Kluyveromyces lactis: one gene and its partner. The protein of the gene in region 2 interacts with the protein of the main gene of each other region in a pairwise test. Links are inferred from orthologs where the notes say so. Each region holds a gene or a part of one and is shown on either strand. Other genes may lie near its edges.

Region 1 (9,888 bases), about 1.1 Mb from region 2:
ACCCAATGTTTGAGAAGAAACTTCTCAGCTTCTGTTATGGCAGGCACTACACAGAAGTCAAAGGATCCAGATCAAAGGATGTTCGATAGAAATAAGAAGAAGCTAGAAGAGTTGGAACACGATTCTAAAACCGACGATCCAAACTACAAACGTCCTAATCTAAAATCCTTGAAGCAGAAGGGTAAGGATGCCCCAATCAAACAGCATAGAGCAGATGACGGTGTCTATTAAGGCTAAACGAAATGCACCCTAGGATATTCAAAAAATACATGCGACAACTACAATCTTCAAAACGCCTACAGGTCCATGAGACCTGGCCTTATTTATGTAAGAACAAGAGCAATGACTAGATAATCATATATAATGGTACTAATATCATATATGTTTGAACAAACTGACAACAGTATGTCTTCCTCGAAGCATGTCTATGCCGTTCCGGACGTTGAAGACGTCGGACAAAATATGTGGGCATAGTCACGTGGAATCACGTGACTAACCTTTTCTTCATTTTCCCACCCATTGCAACCTCGATTTAGATCCACATAAACAATCTTGACAAATTGGATACATACTTACAAAGGGTTCAGTACTGTTAATGAGAAAGTTCCTGTCATTATAGACCAAAGGTTTGTTTCTGGTTTACTTGGTATTGTTGATACATTTGGTATTTGTGTGCTTATTCGCATCGAGAGAACTTTTTATGTTTGATTCCGATTACTGAGTGAGGCGGACTGTATTTCTATTAACAAGAGCATCAACGATAACGGATCAGATTCAGTTTTTGTGATTTCAAAAGAAACCTCGAAGGTTTTAGTTATTGAACTGGGATTTTACACTCTTTTCACCAACCACGATGCTCGAACATAACTCCAAGTTGTTTTGTAAATCACTTTCGCAGCTTTCAGCTGTAGCGTCGAAGGTTGTGGCTGAGGATGTTGAAGGTGAACATTTCAAGCAGCTCTTGGCGAAATGTATAGACACGTTGTCAATATACAAGAGCGAGCTGCGAAAACTTTCATGTGCTTCCAAGGACACACCACCATCGCAGATATATCAGTTGAATGAGACATTGTACGTTTACTATAAGATTGTGTCACAGATCGCATCTCAGGTTATTCCGGGGTTGGCCGAGTTTCAACAGATCAAGATGAATAGTAAGAAGGATTCAAAAGATAAAGAATTGCTGGAAATTTATAGTAGATTGGTTTCTGCACTAGCGAATGATAAACAGATAGGGGAAGTGAAGAGGTTTATCAAAAATCACAGTGAGGAAGCTGCTCATGACGGTACTCAACACTCTTATGAGAATGGGGAATTTGTGTCAATTTCGCAGTTGCATTCACTAATACGGCATGATAACGACTCATCTGGCATTTTACTCGTTGATATTAGACCAAGGATGGATTTTAACGATGGTCATATAAAGCATAACAACGTTATTTGCATCGAACCGATCTCGTTCAAAGAATCATACACGGATTCTGATATCTTGCGTAAGTCATTAATCACTGCATCGGATAGAGAAGTTGATCTTTTCAAGAATCGTGATAAGTTTCGACTTATTGTGCTTTACACAGACACTGATGAGCATACGAAATATTACTGGCAACAGTTAGAAGTTTTACAAGACATTCTTTGCAATAGATCATTTGATAAACCTTTACATCATACTAAGGTAATAGTTTTGCAAAATGGCGTAAACGCTTGGAAGGAGAAGTACCCCATGGAGTTGAAAAAAATAATGGAATCGGCAATATCTGATATTCGTACGAAGCCCGTGGAACACAATTTTCACCCTATGGCATTATCAAACAATAATAATATTGAAAAAGCCAATTCACCGAGTCACTCTCAAACTACAAGTTTCACACATTATCCTGATGCTCCATTCCTTACTAATGGAGCTAGTATTAAAACTGCTGGATTGGTGCCTAATCAGTTGTTGCCATCTACCAGTAATTTAACGAAAGCGTTACAGCAGAACGATGAAGGAAATTCTGAACCTTACAAACTTCAACCAAATGGAATCAAAAACCACAGACAGGAAAGTAATAATCATGCGAACGGTACAAATTGCATTGTGAGTTCAAACGGGAATAACTCTGTTGCTAAATCTGGTCATCCTAGTATCAATCTGGATTTCGCGATTGGTTTAGTGAATTTAGGAAATTCATGCTATTTGAACTGCATAATTCAATGTCTTCTCGGTTGTCATGAGCTATCATACATATTTCTGACCAATTCATATAGGAAACATGTCAATGTGAACAGTCGATTAGGTTCCAAGGGTTTATTAGCGAATTATTTTTCACAACTAGTACAGAAGATGTATCAACAGGGGAAACTACAGGCTTATAACAATACTAATATGGAGTCAACGGCTGTGCATCCAACTCAATTCAAATTGGCGTGTGGCTCGATAAATTCACTGTTTAAAGGCAAGCAGCAGCAGGACTGTCAAGAATTTTGCCAATTTCTCTTAGATGGTTTACATGAAGATTTGAACCAATGTGGTACCAATCCTCCTCTTAAGGAATTAAGTCCAGAAGCTGAGAAAATGAGAGAAACCATGCCGATGAGAATTGCTTCAGCCATCGAATGGGAGAGATATTTGACGACAGATTTCAGTGTCATCGTGGATTTGTTCCAAGGCCAATATGCATCGCAGCTCAGATGTAAAATTTGTGCACATACGTCCACAACTTATCAAGCATTCTCTGTTCTTTCAGTACCAGTTCCCAGAGCAAGATCTTGCACAATTTACGACTGTTTCAAAGAGTTTACCAAGCTAGAAACTTTGGAAAAAGACGAATTGTGGTATTGTCCTTATTGTAAACAGAGACAACCATCAACCAAACAAATCATCATCACACGTTTGCCTAATAATTTAATCATTCACTTAAAAAGATTTGATAATATGATGAATAAAAACAACGTTTTTGTCAATTATCCAAATGAACTAGACTTAACTGGCTTTTGGATCGACGATTACAATGGAGAAATGCCAAAGGATAACGGGGTTTCGTTGCCATTGCGTGGTCAAAAGCCACCCTTCAACTATAGACTCTTTGCTGTGGCGTCACATTCTGGCACGCTCTATGGTGGCCATTACACCTCCTTTGTGGACAAAGGCAGAGTTGGTTGGTGTTCTTTTGATGATGTCAGTTGGAGAAAAATTAGAAGGAAGGACGAATATATCACACCTAATGCATATGTGCTGTTTTACCGTAGAGTTAACATGTAAGTATAATAATTAATTAAGTAGGGAAATACAAAATGTAATCAGTGTTCGAAGAAACACCAGATCGGTTCCAATAACTACTCCCAATCATCATCTTCTTCGTCGTCATTTTCCTCTTGCTTGATAGCTTTTGATTCAGTTTTAGCAGAAGAAATAGTCTCCTTACCAGTGTTGGAGTCTTGTTTAGCCTTTGCAGTTTTAGAAGGAATAATTTCTTCTTCTGAATCCTCTTCCTCATCATCCCATCCTATTGCTTGTTCTTTACCTAGATCTTCCTTGGCACTTAATAAGTCACGCTTCTTTGAGGCCAAATTTAGAATCTCCGCCTTCTTAGTGAAGTAAATATTCCAAAATGTTGCATCATCAAGAGGTGCTGGGACAACGTCTTCGTGTAAGCTTTTCAAGTCCGAATCCTTGTTTAATAACTCTTGAATCTCTTCAAAATGTTCCTTTATTACAAAATCCTTCGGTAAGCTTGCTGCATTATATTTCAAATATATTGACTTGTCTATGGCAAGTTGTTTCAACTTTGTGTCTGTAATTGAGCTAAAAGCGGTATCCTTGTTAGATCCCTCTGCCTCTTTGGCATCGAAATCAAGCACTTCTTGAAACTGAGTAGATATGGTATTCGCCATGGACGACCAGAATGATTTTTTAGAAACAGTGTTCCAGTACCCTTGCGTCAACTCTTCAACTTTCTCCAAGTTGTCATCCAATTTCCCCAACATCTCTTGAGCCTTATTTGTAACGGTACCGCCCAAATTCTCAGGGATTTGGAAATTCAAAGAGTCCTTCTCTTTAACAAAACCTAAAATAGCCTTTGAAGTTTTCTGGAGCTGTTCATCCACTTGGTCCTCGAACTTCTGAAACGCCTCATCAGTCTTATCATCATGTTTTGTCACCTTAACGGCATCTGCAGTCTCTGTTGCAGTCTCTTCATATAAGAAATCCATCGCTAAAGACGCTTTTCACGACTAATGCTAAGCTAGCTATTACCAAAGTACCTTAATGTCACCAAATAACACGTCTGGCTAGATACGCTCGACGCTTATCGACAGACTTCTCGCGAGAACTCTTTTGTTGCGCCTCCCCTTCTTGAAGATCAATCCTTTAAAGGTTCAAACTCCAAATGTTTCATGATTTTCCTTATTATTGGACCTTTTCATTGCAAAGAAGAACAGTTTCAACATGTCTAAAATACAGTAGGAAGAAGCCTCCTCATCTTGTCTCTGCTCAAGTTTGGGTATTATTTGGGGATAGCAGCAACTATAGAATACTCAATGTCATTGGTGACTCCCTTACAGTTTAGCTGTGTTCAGCCGAGATTTTACAGAGGATCATATCCGGCAGAAATTAACCTACCGTTTTTGAGGACCCTTCGACTCAACTATATTATATCTTTGGTACCTGAACCGATTACTAATGACCCTATTTTAGCTGAGTTCTGTGAAGTGGAGGGTATTGAGACGGTTTTTATACAATGTGCGGATGACAAGAAGCAGAAGACAAAGACAAAGAATAAAGACGAACCCAAGGTGAAAAGGAAGAAGAAACCTGTACCTATAGAGTACGATGTGGTAATAGAATGTATCAAGTTTTTGATCGACAAGAACCATTATCCTTGTTACATCCATTGTTCGAACTCGAACACGGAAGTCACATCGCTAGTCATAGCATGTCTACGAAAGCTCTCTTATTGGAGCACTGTATCGATATTCAACGAGTACATGACATACACGTCTAGCATAAATATACATGAAAGAAACTTCATCGAGAACTTCAATCTGGAGATAGATATTCAAGGTGTGAAACCTTCGGACAAAGTGTCTTGGATAATAGTCAGATCTAAGCACAATGGGGCCACGGGTTCGAAACAGGATAAAGGTGCGAAACATCAGAACGGAAAGAGCGATGAGAACCTCGATCTAACACCGCAGCTATCCGCTTCAAAAGATCCTTTGCCAACACTTAGGTTCCATGATGATTGATTGTTATATTATCTGATACTACTTTGTGTACATTACATACTCTTTCAGTATTAATAGAGAGAATAGTCTGCGCGCAGAGTTTTGGGTCAATACCTGCTTATTGAAACAAAAGGGAAGCTGCATAGTCCACGTTTCCACCAGTTTTATTCAATGCATTGATAGCTTCTTTCCTAGAGAAACCAAGATCCACTAATTTTTTTATGTCTGATTCTGCGAACGATGGAACAGTTTGATTTGTGGTAGAACTTGGAATCTTTGGCTGCTTGACTTTGTTTGCATCGCCAGTCATAGCATTTTTTCCTGAAGATGAGTCCCTCTTCAACGCTGCCTTTCTTACTTCGTCAGCTGCTGGAGTTGTCAGTGCATGAAGGGAGTCCTTTGGAATTTCAGATTCAGGCAAGAATGGGGTCTCAACATCTGATATTCTCAATACATTGTTCTTCAAATCTATAGATGCCTGATGTCTTCTTAACATGTCCAAACCCAACAACATTTCCATTGGAGTGTCAAGTACGGTAAAACTACAAGGCAAGAACACGTCGTGGATTTTGATTTGAGTCGTATGGATTCTCCCGAGAATTTTGCCCGTACCAACACCCTGAGCTATACCACTGAACCTTTTATCAATTAGAGAGGTCAACCCTGTTCTTTCTGCCAATTTTGTTGACATTATAGTCTGTTGAGCACCAGAATCAACGAACGCTTTGACTGGGTGGCCATTGATTTCTAATTTTATATACAACATTGACACTTGGGTAAAAGACTCCGGAGTATATTCCATCGCATATCGTAATTGCTCATCAATCTCATGTTGGTTGGTCAACTCCGAAATCCGTGCTTGATTCACAGGATCATCAGGGTTGCTCATTAATCTTGAGTATTCAGAATTTGGGATACCGAATGGGTTATTTGATCTTTCACCACGTCTGGAAAGTAACACCGGACCTAGTAGTTGATGAAATTGGGTTTTATTATTTATCATATGTTCTAAGTTTGGAAGACCCATCTCTTGAGCCATACTTGGATTCTCTAATAGGAAAGTCCTGAACTGTTCAATGTACTGTTCATCCGTCAAATCGATCTCCTGAGGTTGACCGAAAGCTGCCTGGGAACTAGCGGGATTCTTAGGTTTTATCAAAAGCATATCATGGTTTTGTAAGCCAGCCTCTTTCAAAGTTATATTCGTGTTCTTAGTGTCAAGTTGCTTCATGTTGTGAAATATGATCTGAGATTCCTCTTTAAAGTCTATCAATGCGAAAAGGTCGATAAGCGACATATCTTCACTCAATTCAAAAGGTCCAAGGACATCATCAGAGTGCTCATAAGTGACGGTGATGTTCATCTCTGATACGGTTGCCTAGTAATGGTAACTTTCAGTTTTAGTGTTTATTTTCCATTGAATAAAGTGATAATTGATAATTAAAGTTGATCTTGATTAATAAAGGAATCTTATATGTCAGAGAACCTTAAAACAACTTCTCGAAAGTAAAGAAAGAAAGAACGGACAAAAGTGTCGCCAAGGCTATATTGAAATGAAAAGGACAAGGGATGATATCCTCAAGGTGGATGTGGACCAAGAATATCTGGATCAGCACATTGATTCATTCCGTGATGGAATAGAACATATCTTAACTATTGACCCCACATTAAAAGAAATCATTGAGCATAGTCCTTTCACCATGTTTCTCAAGGAAAATGTGGCCAAGGATTCGATGGACCTTTATTTTAATAAATTGGCAGGTAGCATCATTTCACAGCAGATCAGTGGTGCAGCTGCGAAGAATATTCGAGGCAGGATCGTAGATATGTTTGATGGAACTTTTCCTAATTATCAGACACTGCACGAAACATTCCAAGACTCGAAGAAGAAACAAGCTTTTAAGGAATGTGGGTTATCTCAAAGGAAGCTGATGTATATTGAGTCCTTGGTTGGATATTTTTTCAATAACGAGGATTCTATAAAAGATCTCTTTGCCTTTGCAGACGATGATAAAATCATCGAAGAGCTAGTCGCAAATATCAAGGGTATCGGACCGTGGTCAGCGAAGATGTTTTTAGTTACAGGTTTACATCGCTTAAATGTATTTGCAGCTGAAGATTTGGGAATCGCAAGGGGATGTTCAAGGTACTTGGAACAACGACCAGAGATCTTAAAGAAGCTTCACAGCAAGCGGACTCTTATCAAGAAATCAAAAATAAAGCACAAGAGTTTCAAGTGGAAAATCCACGATGAAGACGTGGTTGAGCTCTGTGGTGATTTATTTAGCCCCCATAGAACGTTATTTATGTTCGTTCTTTGGAGAATGTCGGATACTAACATGGAAGTTGTCATCAATAATGAGAAAAGGTTTATGTCGAAGTAATAATTAGAGGCATTGTAATTGCTGTGTATAAACAGTACACTTTAAAGTAAGGTAGGAGTTCACTGGTAGCAACTTTTGAGTATATATATTTACAAGATAACATTTAATGTGCTGCCCAGTGTTTATAATAAATAGGAAGTAAAGGGGACAAACAAGAAAATAATTGAAAAAAAAGGATCCATTCGTAGTTCCCAAGATCACTTCGCAAGTTTGGAAGCCTCAGTTAAGATTTTAGAAGAGGCCTTTTGCTGTTGTGTATAGAGTCCACCGGTGAGGATTCTAATTGCGGCTCTTGGTTTTCTCAATTGAGAAGCAAACAACAATGAACCTGTCAATAATGCCAAGGCACCAGCTTGGTGAGCAGAAGCTAGAGGGATTGGAACCAAATATAACAAGGTAAAAATACCTAGAGTGACTTGTAAAGTGGCAAGACCCATCATACCATGAGCAGTACGTAGAACTTGTTTAGGAATGATAGCCTTGTTTCTGTTACAGTACATGTGGAATGCAAACACAGCGAAGAAAGTGGTTGTAGCCAAAATCCTATGATTCAGTTGAACCGTAGTTGGGTTTTCCAACATATTTCTCCAAAACATATCACTCTTGTCTTCTTTTCTAGCAAAGTTTTCGTCGATTAATTCACGTTTACTTGGTACCCAATCATCACCCATGTGAGGGAAAGTATTGTAGATTAGACCAGCATCCAGACCAGCAACCAAACCCCCAGACATCGCAGTAACAAAGGTCAAAGCTAGTAGACCAAGTGCAGATCTTCTCAATGGAGCTAGTGCTGGGTTATCTAGTTTTGAGAATAAAACAAGAGCTTCGGATGGGTTTTTAACCCATTTGGCCTCTCTCAAGATCTCAAACCCGGTCCAGAGCATACCCATATATAACATGAAAGCGGTACCCAAATGTGTAGTCAATCTGTACTGTGAGACAGTCGGTTTGGACTTTCTTTCCTTCAATTGTGTTTCATCCAAACCAGACTTGACCATCCACCAACCGATAAAACCTTGTAAACCTAGTAGTGCTGATAAACCAAACAATCTTTTATTAACATGAGGTGATGTCTTCCTAGCGACAGCAAAGTAGACAGCAGGCAGAATGAATACAGCACCGATAGCACGGCCCCATAGTCTATGAATCCATTCCATAAAGAAAATGAACTTGAATTCATCCAAGGTAATATGAGAGTTCAACTGTTTAAATTCTGGAGAACTTTTATACTTGGTGAATTCATTTTCCCATTCCTGCTGGTTCAAGGGTGGTAAAGTACCAGCGACAGGTCTCCATTCTGTAATAGATAACCCAGATTCAGTAAGTCTGGTTAACCCCCCGAGAACGACAATACCAAACACAAGAATTGAAGTACCAACTAACCAGTACCCTACCACTTTTGATGAATTTAGCAAGGGTTTTGACTTAGCTTGTTTAGCCGTGGATGCCGTAGCTGTTGTTATACCATTACCAGTAGTTTGCGATACCTGTACAGCTTCCCTGACAATAGATCTGGTATGGAAATACGCCATTGAAACTGTTGGCAAAGCTCTCTTAAGAGCAACAGTGGGAATCACATTCTTTGTCTTTACCAAATTTGATATTGAACGGGTCATTAAACCACGGGAACTTATGCGAATACCGCTGAGGCCTCTGCCTCCAAGAACCAAAGTTCTGAACATAGTGATAACTAGGTTGTCAGCTTCAAAAGATCGAATCTGGCCTCTGTGGTTCAATACTTACTTCTGTTAATGTTACTAGTGAAAGGCTTCATCGTTCCATTTTTTTTTTTTTTTATATTGAGCCTGATCATTCCATAACGTGAAGGGAACTATATAAAAGCGTCAGCAGAAAGAAGCCCGATAAAACGTACTATTGAATAACGAGTTGACATGTCGTTATATTTGGCCAGTTTGTCGATGTTGTTAATATCTATAAATTCTCTATACTTATTTGAAGGCCGCATGGGGAATTCGTGTACGTTTTGTCTGTATATCCAAATAATCGTTGTTTAAGTAGAATGGTAGTACCTGGGGTTCATTCGGCGGTGGATTCGTATCAAATTCGTCTGTGTTTAGTTTACAGTAGTGTATATATTTACATGGGACTAAATAAGATAAATGACATTGGGTTTGATTTATTTAGTTTCCTTGTTGCGTTTTTCATCAATCTTCTTGAAGTCTTCTGACCAAACGGTGTTACCCTTGTTAGTGTCTACGTCTCCGAATAGTCTTTGGAAAACATCTTCGTACCAGTCTGCGGCCAAAGGTTCCAATCCTTCCTTCACATTCTCTGG
Region 2 (10,905 bases):
AATAATAAATACTATACCGCGCTTCACAGTGCAAGAAGAAACTACAGACCCTTGCCAACGTTCTGAACCTAGTATGGACATTAGATGGTATTAAAGAAAGTAATCTAACGAAATCATATTTGCCTACAATTGAGCTTTTGATATTGAAAGTTATCGACGATGAGCCAAAATTTGAAAAAATAAAACAAGGATGGTTTCCCAACCGTTTAGTAACTGGCAGTCTGCAAGTGCGGAAGAGTACACACACCCCATATTAACAGGGTTCAATGACAATGTAAAACGACAAACGGAAGCGTTAAAGAAGATTTAAATATATAAGAAATAGAATTAAGGATATAATGATATTTAATTGAGTGAAAAAAAAAATTACTGGAATAGAGAGAAAAAAGCTGATTTAAAAGGAGAAAGTGATAAAGAATAACGTATCTGATAGTATTTCCATCAATGACGCTTGACAAGGAAAGGAGCGATTGAGTGTTTTCCAGAAAAGAAAAAACAGTTTCTTGTTCTCCAACCAACAATTATAACTCAAAATCCATCCCATTGCTGAAAACCCACGTAAAACACCCAGAATATCATATAAGTTAATATATATAATTGGATGCTTAACAGTAGACGAAAAAAAATGGGGAATTAGATAGCGTACTAAAGAACACCGGGAGTAGCAACCAAAACCGTTCCAGGAAGGAAAACGACTTTTGTGGAAACACAGAAAGATGGACAAGTGAAAACATGCAAGGATAAAAAAGGAATCATATTTCAAGTCTTTTTCATCTCGAGTCCAATCTCACTGATAACAAAAGAAGATCCCCTGTCCCTCTCAAAACACATTAGGAGCTCAACGTATCAACAACGGTTGATCCAATTTCTTCTTTCCATTTATCCAGGGATAAAAAAACTTTTTTTTCTCATTTCTTAGTCCATTAATATATTACTGAATTTTTTTGTTCATATCAAAATCTATTCGGATCTTGGAGCTTCCTTGAAGGAGATGGCAGCTTCTTCACCCATAGCGGCAATGATAGTAACCATCAAGTCCTTACCTTCGTCGAAAGCAGCTTGGATGTTGTCACCCAATTCACCTTCTGGGGCTCTGACATCATCCTTGGTTTCACCGTCCATGGTCATCAAAGACAAGAAACCGTCATCGATATCCAACAATTGGAATTCAGTTCTCTTAACAACTGGGACTTCCATGTTGTGAGTAGATGGAGACAAATCTTCCAACTTCTTGTTGGTGAAGATATCGATGGCAACCAAATGGACCTTAGCGTGACCGTGCTTACCGGTCTTGGAAGTAGACATATCAACAATCTTACATGGTCTGCCCTTGATAACGACAAAACCGTTCTTTCTCAAAGCAGAACATTGCATTGGGAAAGTCAAGGAAGCACCAGCTCCAGCAGTTTCGAAAGTGTGTTCTTCTTCAGCCATGTTGTATATGTGTGATTTGTTTAATGCGTTTGGTCTACTATCTGTAGTGAAAACAAAATACAATTGAAACCAAGTAAAACTGAATAACTAATAACAGGATAAAGTTAAAACAGAAGAGAACAAGAAAAACTAATTAAACAAATGAAGAAGTTTACAAAATCATTCTGAAACATATACAAAATGGACTAAATACACTCTTGTAAATGAAAAAAAGCTTTAAATTCAACTTTCCATGAAGAAAAAAACTCTTATAATTTTGTTTCCAATATATATAAAATCGAATATCAAATTTTTTTTTCTTTCTCGTCGTCGAACTGAAAAAAAAAGTTTGAAAAATTTAGTTTCGATCATTTTGTACAGAGAGAGTGAAAGAGAGAGCGAGAGGGAAAAACACCGATGTATTTCATAGTCGTGTAAAGTTTGTAGAGTGTGAAAACAGAAAGAAAAAGCAATTCGTACGGTAGGTCTTTTTTTTCTACTTTCCCATCGTCTTCTCCCTTGCTATTCTAGTCTGCTATGGGGATTGTATGTTTTCCAAATGGCATATTCTAGTTTTTTAACGGCATTCACTGACAGATCGAAGTCAATAATATAGGCAACGTTGGCACATAATTGTATCGGTTGCGGAACGATTTGTATAATGTACAATTTTGATACGTAGTTGTGTATAATTCATCTTTGATGGCGAAGAGCTGGGTGGATTCGCCAGTCGACAGATCCAAAGAACCTGAGGCCGCATTGAGGGAAACAGGCACGGACCATGATATATCACCGTACACGGTAAGCTCACGGAATCCTCTCGTAAGCAGTAGGAAAAAGGGAAACCCAACGATGCCCGGGTAACATATACATATCACTATACACGTATTTATTTGGTCCTTTGATTGCCGCCTGGCATTCCCAGGCATTGGAATGAGATGAAACATGTCACGTGACTGTACGGGAAGAACAGACATCCGCTATCTTTCCAGCCTTTTTGTTCCGTTATGTTGAATGGCCGTAGTAGAGGTTCTGTTACAGTGCGAAAAGGCGGTAATTGAGCCGGGAAAAAGTAGAGTTGCTTCTTATCTACAACAACTTACGGTCCCCAACAGTGCCCTGAGAGTTGAATCACTGGTTCCCACACCTTATAACTGCGTGTAGGGTCTGGCAGTTCCTTTTTATTTACCTTTTCCAAATTTCAGTTTATACACTTTTTTTTTTTTTTTTTTTTTGGCGAAGAAATTGAAATGGATGAAAACAATGCAACTATACAATCGAAAATAGTAATATTTTATAAGTATTTATTATGGCACAGACCATATTATCTGTTGCAAACGCTAAAGGAAAAAGGTTTGTCATTTAAAGCAGCCGATTATTATTCCAGAAGGTGTCATAATACACAGGGTTAGCACCGCCCAGGATTAGTGAGAAAGGAAGAACACATAAGGATCTTTTGACGAGCGTGCATTTTATAGATCTATTGTGAAAAATTGCGGTATCAAAATTTCTTCGAACAATAAAATACAATCGCTAAAGCTGTGGAGGAATAAAAACATCCGGATCCATCGCTCTTTACTTTTGAAATCACTTCTATTCTCGATTCCTGGAAATTCAAATATTCTACACAACGTCATACAACCGTCATAGATGGGCAGCAAGGGTAAGAGCAGGTTCAATGCCTTGACTGCTGTGTCCGTGATAGGATCAGTGGTAACGGGGTTTCTTATAATTCGAATGATTTTCCCAATCATATGGCAGTTCGTACCGTTCGTCTCAAGTCCTGTAACTGGTAACAGGTTCAGAAATATACCTGGAGTGGAATATTACGATTTAATTAATTATCAGGGGAATGCCAATGGATGGCAGACCGGTGATAGGGTGGTGTTCTGTGTTCCTTTGAGAGATGCAGCCGCACATTTGGATATGTTCTTCGATACCTTGGATAAATTGACATACCCACATAACTTGATTGATCTTTCATTTTTGGTCAGTGATTCAAGCGATGATACCATGAAAACACTTCTTTCTCATTTGAGAAGAGCTCAATCAAACCAAGACAAATCGAGAAGATTCGCTAACATTGAAATTTTTGAGAAAGATTTCGGTCAAAGTGTGGGTCAATCGTTTTCTGATAGACACGGGTTTGCAGCTCAAGGCCCTAGAAGAAAATCCATGGCCAGAGCTAGAAATTGGCTTGGGTCAGCGGCTTTGAAGCCGTATCATTCTTACGTGTACTGGAGAGATGTCGACGTTCAAACTATACCGAATACTATTTTGGAAGATTTAATGCATCATGATAAAGACGTCATTGTTCCAAACGTCTGGAGACCTCTACCCGATTGGTTGGGAAATATACAACCATATGATTTGAACTCATGGGTTGAATCTGAGGGTGGATTACAATTAGCTGATTCTTTGGATGAAGATGCTTGTATCGTAGAAGGGTACCCGGAATACGCTACATGGAGAACACATTTGGCCTACATGAGAGACCCAAGCGGCGATCCCGAGGTCGAGATGGAACTAGACGGAATTGGTGGTGTTTCCATCTTATCTAAAGCTAAGGTCTTTAGAACAGGTTCTCATTTCCCTGCGTTCTCTTTCGAGAAACATGCTGAAACTGAAGCCTTTGGTAAATTATCACGTAGAATGCAATACAGTGTTGTCGGTCTACCTCATTATGTGATCTGGCACATTTACGAACCTTCAAGTGACGATTTGAAACACATGGCCTGGATGGCCGAGGAAGAGAAACGTCGGGTTGAAGAGCAAAAAATTCAAGAGTTCTATGCTAGAATTTGGGATATTGGTTTCGATGACGTGAGAGATGAGTGGGAGCTAGAAAGGTTACAAATTTTGAAGAACATTGATCCGAATGTCCTAGATAGGAAGATTCAAGTGGACTGGTCAGATGATGATGAAGCAGATGATGGTTCAAGGAACGGAGGAAATAATCAAGATTCACATGAAGTACCACTGGACTTTGATCCTGCTCATTAATAATTTTCTGTTTAGGCAGTGAAGAGTAAAGAAGATTATAAAACCCACAAATACATTCTTCACTAACGAGATATTTTTTAAAAAGATATCTTAACCATCTAATTTCAATTCTCATCGCTTCCATCCCCTATTATTATTCAATTATTAGGCAGACTGTAACACGTTGGAGTATCTAGTTGTACAATATGCACCTTAGATCATTATCGAGGTTTTTATCAATAGACTTTTTTTTACATTTACGTTTAAATGCATTATATACTAATATTGTACTTGCAATAATCTGTTCATTTTGTTTACTTCAAACCATATTACTACTGGTAACTATTACAGGCAAGCAAATACTGAAAACACGTTATCAAGCTGCATTAAGCTGTAATTTTCAGCGTATTCCGGAGTTCTGCATCTTGTCAGATACCTTCAGTTTTTTTTTTTGTCAACATCGAAAATGAAAGTTGAGAACAGTGAAAGAAATTGAAATTAATGCCAAATCAACTTGAATCTGATGGCTGGGTGGCAAAGAAGATAAAGTCAAGAAAACAACCGTTGAGACAAAGTCCAAGAAAATCACAAGCATAATGCTTATTAATTTTAAAGATTTCAAAAAGGAAAAACTACCTATTGAATTGGCGGATGATGCCACCATTTCACACGCCAAGGAATTGATCGCTGAACAAAAACAGTGCGATGCATCTCAAATAAAGTTGATCTACGCAGGTAAGATACTCCAGGATCCTAAGACCGTATCAGGATGCAATCTTAAGGAAGGGGATCAGGTTATATTCATGATTAGCAAAACTAAGAAAAAGGCTGATGTTAAGGTAACTGAATCCACAACTGAACCCCAAGATGAATCTCAAGCCACTGCTTCTGCAGAAACTTCTGCAGTTGCAAATGCACCTGCGGAAGCTACAACCACTGGTACAAGAACAGGTACTACTGCAGTTACACAAGAAGAAGGGACGACTGATGCTTCGTTTGTCACTGGTTCTCAACGTAACGAGACTGTGAACAGAATCATGGAAATGGGTTATGATCGTGAACAAGTAGAACGTGCGCTTAGAGCAGCATTCAACAACCCTGACCGTGCAGTGGAGTATTTGCTTATGGGTATTCCTGAAGCCAGTGAGCCATCGCAGCAACAAGCTGAAGCTGTAACTAGTGAAGCTGGGGCGAATGCTAATTCTGAAGTTGCAACAGACGTGCCATCACAATTCACTGAACATGAAGACAATTTATTTGCACAAGCAGAAGCCAATAATGGCGAGCAAGGTCATGAATCCGCTGCTGGTTTAGGTGGAGAAGAAATGGGCACAATCGGATTGACTATGGAGGACATTACACAACTTCGTGACGTTGTATCTGGGCGTCCAGAGGCTTTAATGCCACTTTTCGAGAGTCTAAGCACGCGTTACCCACATCTCCGTGAGACCATGCTGCAAGATCCACAAAGGTTTATCTCTTTGCTATTAGAAGCTGTTGGCGGTTCCCTAACCGATTCTTTGGGTGAAAATCTGGGAGATGACATAGCAGAAGGTGATCTAGGTGATTTCGGGGGACAAACTCAAGGCGCGCCTCCCAATGTTACTATCTCAGCAGAAGATGAAGAAGCTATCAATAGACTTTGCGAGTTGGGTTTTGAGAGGACCTTGGTGGTGCAAATCTACTTCGCATGTGACAAAAACGAAGAAATTGCTGCCAACATGCTATTCAACAATTACGCTGATTGAATGTAGTATGATTTTTCAATAAACCATCGTCTCTTTAGGCATGTAGGGAAAGAAGAATATGTTCAAAATAGAAAACAAAAATAATTATCTCTACCAAATTTGTTTAATAATATGGAATATGCGTACTCATATCTCCAGCATGTAGTGTTTGCCAATCCAAGTATGACCTCTATACCGTCAGATTTTCCTACTACAGCGAAGGCATCCCACATATTCATCTTCCAATTTTTGCACACATACGCACTCATAATGAGCAGTTATACTTAACCAACCTTAGTCAATCTGCAACAGACGGAGCGTGGTATGTTCGATCTCTTACTTCCAACTTCAAGTAGGATTTGTGTTACAATCAATCAGATATCCCCTTCATTAATTTTTTTAAATTTATTCATCATTACACTATATCCTTAGTCCCAATTCAGAGAACCAGTGTACCTTAGACATGTCTTATATAGATGAGAAGTTATTAAGCGCTTTATATTTTTCTGCATTAGATACCGGGTTGTTTCCAGGCCTCAATGCCAAGATGGTGCTGATGCCTACATCCAAAGCTGCGTCTAACTCCTTGTCATTGTCGCTAATAAACACAACATCACTTGCTGATGATGGAGGCACTCCAATGCTTTTGAGAATATTGGTGTAAGATTGAGGTTCAGTTTTCTTACCGGACGTGTTAATGTCGAAGTAGCCAGCAATGGATTTCGTTAAATCGATGTCCCCTTCTACGTGTTGGAACAAGAGTATTTGCGCCTTTACTGACCCTGAGGAGTATATGTAAACATTAGGAGCATGTCTCTGAATGAAATCAATTGCATCTGGATACACTGGCGCCTTGATCTCACCACTCTTGTAACCCTGCTCCCAAATATACCCTTGTAATTGCTTCAACACGGAATCCTTGATGTCGTTATTAACTAGCGATTCAATATGTTCATGCAAAGAAGAAGCATCTTGTGGGACAGGAAATTGGGCAAGTAAGTTCTGCAAAGTAGGGTCATTAGTCTTGACAAGAGATTCCACCTGTTTCAAGAAAAAAGGGTATAGCGTGTCTTTAACAAATGAGATAGGGCAAACCGTACCTTCAATGTCCAAGATATATTTCAATTGACTCATTGTCACTTAATTGAAATCTCAGTTTTCCAGTAAACGCAAATAACTGTGCCTTAAAGCTCTTTTTTCTAATGACTGTGATTAATTCCAAGCTCCTATTCACTAGGCGTACCGAACCAACATGGTCGTGAAGAACATCAGATTGGAATAGGTTTACAAAATATTCAGTTTTACAGTTTGCGAGATGAGATGCGGAAATCAGTCTTGCGAGAATGGAATGAAGCATAGGCAATGTTGGACAACGGCTACACCTTCCTAAAAAGGAAAAGAATGCAGCTTAGCTTAACTTGAAGGTTTCCCAAAGAGGATACTGGAGACGGCGCAAAAATTAAATAACTGAAAATATGCCACAAACCACGTGATCACGACGGAACGTTCCACACACGAACCCAGACATCACAATGCGCAGTATTTTCCTGCTTATCTATCGTAGCAAAACCGCGTTAGACAATCCTTTCGAGTGGATTGAATTTGGTAATCTAAGATTAAGGGTATCCATTTTGACAGGTTTCTCGGTAGGCCGATCTACAGTTGTCAAATGAAATGGCACTACTTCTATGTAGTTACATTATCTTGGGGCAAAATGTATAACGTGATTATTCTAAGATGGGAATAGGCTAGCGATCGTAAGGCTGAATTCTGTTTATTTACTTTATGTTGTTCTTAACGATTGAAAGACTGTATCTTTAGATCTTGTTCAGTTCGTAGTTGAACTGATGCGGAGGGGAGATACAACTAAGCTTCCTGCTGTTAGTATGGTCAGACGGTTTTTCGCTTTGTAGGGGTACATCGTAAACAATTCATTTTGTTAGAGTCGCTTGTGAGAGGATATTATTATGCATTATGCGTAGATACCTCGATTGCAATACAGATATCATTGGATAATCTAAACAAGGTAGCTCCTGCCGGTTGCTTACTTTAAGTTCCATTATGAGGGAATAGGATGATTCGAAGCAAGTATTAGTCTTGAAATTTATTTATAAAGGGCGTCTGTCAGAAGGATGGTTCTACTTATTCGTTGTTTGTTAACTCACATATTTCTCTATTACATCTTTGCATCCACTCAGCAAACAAAAACTCAAACCTCAAACAAGTTTTATTATAATACAAAGATATACTCATGACTGTCGAAAACGAAAATAACTCTTACGTCTTCCAAGGATACATCACTAAAAAGTTACCTCATGTCAAACGCGGTGAAGGATGCAGAATTGTCGTTGAAAAAGATGGCAAGTTACATGAAGATGTCTTCGATGGCATCACTGGTGCTGCTGTCGGGGCATTGGGATGGGGTGATGAGGATATCCATGGGATCATGACAGAAGCAGCCAAGAATCACACTTACACTTTCCCATCTTTAATCGGTAATTCACAATCTGAAGAATTGGCTAAGTTCTACATTGAAAACTCTCCAAAGGGCGCCTTTGAATCCGCTTTGTGGTGTTGCTCTGGTTCTGAAGCTAACGAAAATGCTATGAAAATCATTAGACAATACCAATTGGAGCGTGGCCAACCAAAAAGAACTAAGATCATCTCTAGAGAATCTTCTTACCATGGCTTCACTTTGGGTGCCTTGTCCATCTCTTCTAATCCAAGAGCCGAACAGTTCAAGGAAATCTTGATGGACCAAAAAGAATTATGCCTAAAGATGCCTGTATGCTACCCATACAGATTCATGAAGAAAGGTGAAACCGAAGAAGAATATTGTGCCAGATTGATTCATAGCCTGGAACAATTGATCTTAGACAACGACCCAGAGACTATCTCTGTGGTTCTCGTTGAGACATTGCCAGGTTCCTCCTTAGGTACTACTCCACCACCAAAGGGATATCTATCAGGTATCCGCCGTATCTGTAATAAGTACGACGTTGTGTTCATGCTCGATGAAGTCATGTGTGGTACTGGTAGAAGCAACCCTAACGGTAAGTTGAACTGTTGGGAGAATTTCTTGACAGCTGAAGAAGCCCCAGATATCCAAAGTGTTGGTAAGACCTTGGGTTCCGGATACGTTACCATAGCCGGTGTTTTAGTTGGTCCAAAAATCAAAAAAGCATACGCCGAAGGTTCGAACTGTATGATCGGTTCCCACACTTATGCATCTCACGGTTTTAACTGTGCCGTTGCCCTTGGTGTGCAAAAGAAGATCTTGGATAACGATTTAACTAAAAACATCTTTGAAAAGGGTAACTTGATGGGTCAGAAATTGAAGAAATCTCTGCTAGCTTACGATAACATCGTCGGTGATGTCAGAGGTATTGGTGGATTCTGGTCCTTAGAATTTGTCAAGGACAGAGAAACAAAGGAACCATTCCCATACAAGCTTGACGTTGGTCACCGTTTCCAAGATGTATGTTTCGAAAATGGAATTACTGTCATGGGTATGCAAGGAAACATCGACGGTGTTTCTGGTGATATTGCTTTGTTGGCACCATCATTCATCATCACCGAAGACGATGTCTCCACCATTGTGGAAAGAGTTACCAAGTCTGTTGATGATATGACCGTTCTACTAAAGGCTGAAGGCCATTTCTGAGAAGGCTTCAGCTGTGCTAAGTATTCTAACGACTATATAACGGCACATACGTAGACGTATTGTGCCACCTCTTCTCTGTACTTGTTCTTTAAAACTCCATGTCTCATCATAACAGTTATGTGTCAAGCAAATCAGTTCCTTTTTTCCTAATATTTTTTTGACACTTTGAACCTTTAAGCTGTTTTTATTCGCGTAAATGTATATTATTAACAAAGTGATCGAAACTAAAATATCAGCAGGAAAGTCAAAAATAGAAGGCCGAGTTAAGGGTCCTACATTAACATCAACGTAGTAAGATTTTCTTAGTAACTCACAAATTCCGGCCCAGTAAGTAGATATATATATGTACGTCTTTTTTCGGCATTGTAGAGCATCTGCTGTAAGCTTATCAGCTGTCATTACTTTCTGCTCGGTCAGCATTGATGAAAACCCGGCTCATATCTCATTAACTTCGCCTCGCTCCTAATGTAAAGATATATACCTAAGAAATAATAAGGAATGATAAGTGAATCTATCCAAAAACCTGGTCCAACTATTCTTCAACCTAGTTTTCTTTCACTGTGTGAGTCACACTATTATACCAAATACCCATATGTAAGTTACATCTTTTTTCAGTGTCACTATCAAAACTCCTGTATTGTTATCCATAAACTTTAGAAATACAGTACAGTGCGTATCCCGATGTAGACAGAATTTCCGGTACTCTACCTCCAACTTAATGCCATATGCCTGCGTATCGTGACGCTTTCGACCGAAATGAATTTCGGGATAATAGCTACATACATATATACATCTCATATCTTCCACCGAACAAGGTTGGAGATTGTTAACTCCCAGTTCGTCACTCGGACTTTTTTATGCATGTTCGGGATTAGACAGGAGGCTTTCACTATGTGTTATATCAAATGTTCTGGTTTCTCTTTGTCGCTATATAAAGCAATAAATTGGTTTGAAATCAAAAATTCCATCATAAGAAAAACGTCCCTTTATTTCTATAGGAGACAAAACTCCATTATATAGGGAGAACACAGGAACGGTTTTTTTCTAACTTCACAGATACAATAGATTAACTGAGTCATATAACAAGGTGTGTTAGTTATATTGCGTATACATTGTTTC

What was found. The genes of interacting proteins can lie anywhere in the genome.
Region 1: the proteins of RAD23 (region 2) and DDI1 interact in a two-hybrid assay, tested with the Saccharomyces cerevisiae proteins (2 studies listed by BioGRID). The link is inferred for Kluyveromyces lactis from reciprocal best matches to the Saccharomyces cerevisiae genes RAD23 and DDI1.

What each region holds. Positions count from the first base shown.
Region 1 is NC_006041.1:905,822-915,709, forward strand, and holds DDI1 (Ddi1p), read right to left. Parts: upstream 6,572-9,888; coding exon 5,327-6,571; downstream 1-5,326. Other genes in the region: FMP16 (Fmp16p), read left to right, coding at 1-231; KLLA0_E10275g (uncharacterized protein), read left to right, coding at 854-3,244; DOS2 (Dos2p), read right to left, coding at 3,319-4,194; OCA6 (protein-tyrosine-phosphatase), read left to right, coding at 4,522-5,229; MAG1 (DNA-3-methyladenine glycosylase II), read left to right, coding at 6,762-7,592; COX15 (Cox15p), read right to left, coding at 7,790-9,274; ATP-dependent Lon protease PIM1, read right to left, coding at 9,730-9,888. UniProt on the Saccharomyces cerevisiae protein: Aspartic protease. Appears to act as negative regulator of constitutive exocytosis. May act at the level of secretory vesicle docking and fusion as a competitive inhibitor of SNARE assembly.
Region 2 is NC_006041.1:1,969,873-1,980,777, reverse strand, and holds RAD23 (Rad23p), read left to right. Parts: upstream 1-4,991; coding exon 4,992-6,143; downstream 6,144-10,905. Other genes in the region: KLLA0_E22199g (uncharacterized protein), read right to left, coding at 961-1,434; KLLA0_E22177g (uncharacterized protein), read right to left, coding at 2,001-2,390; ANP1 (Anp1p), read left to right, coding at 3,064-4,416; putative acireductone synthase UTR4, read right to left, coding at 6,591-7,256; KLLA0_E22089g (uncharacterized protein), read left to right, coding at 8,374-9,786. UniProt on the Saccharomyces cerevisiae protein: Plays a central role both in proteasomal degradation of misfolded proteins and DNA repair.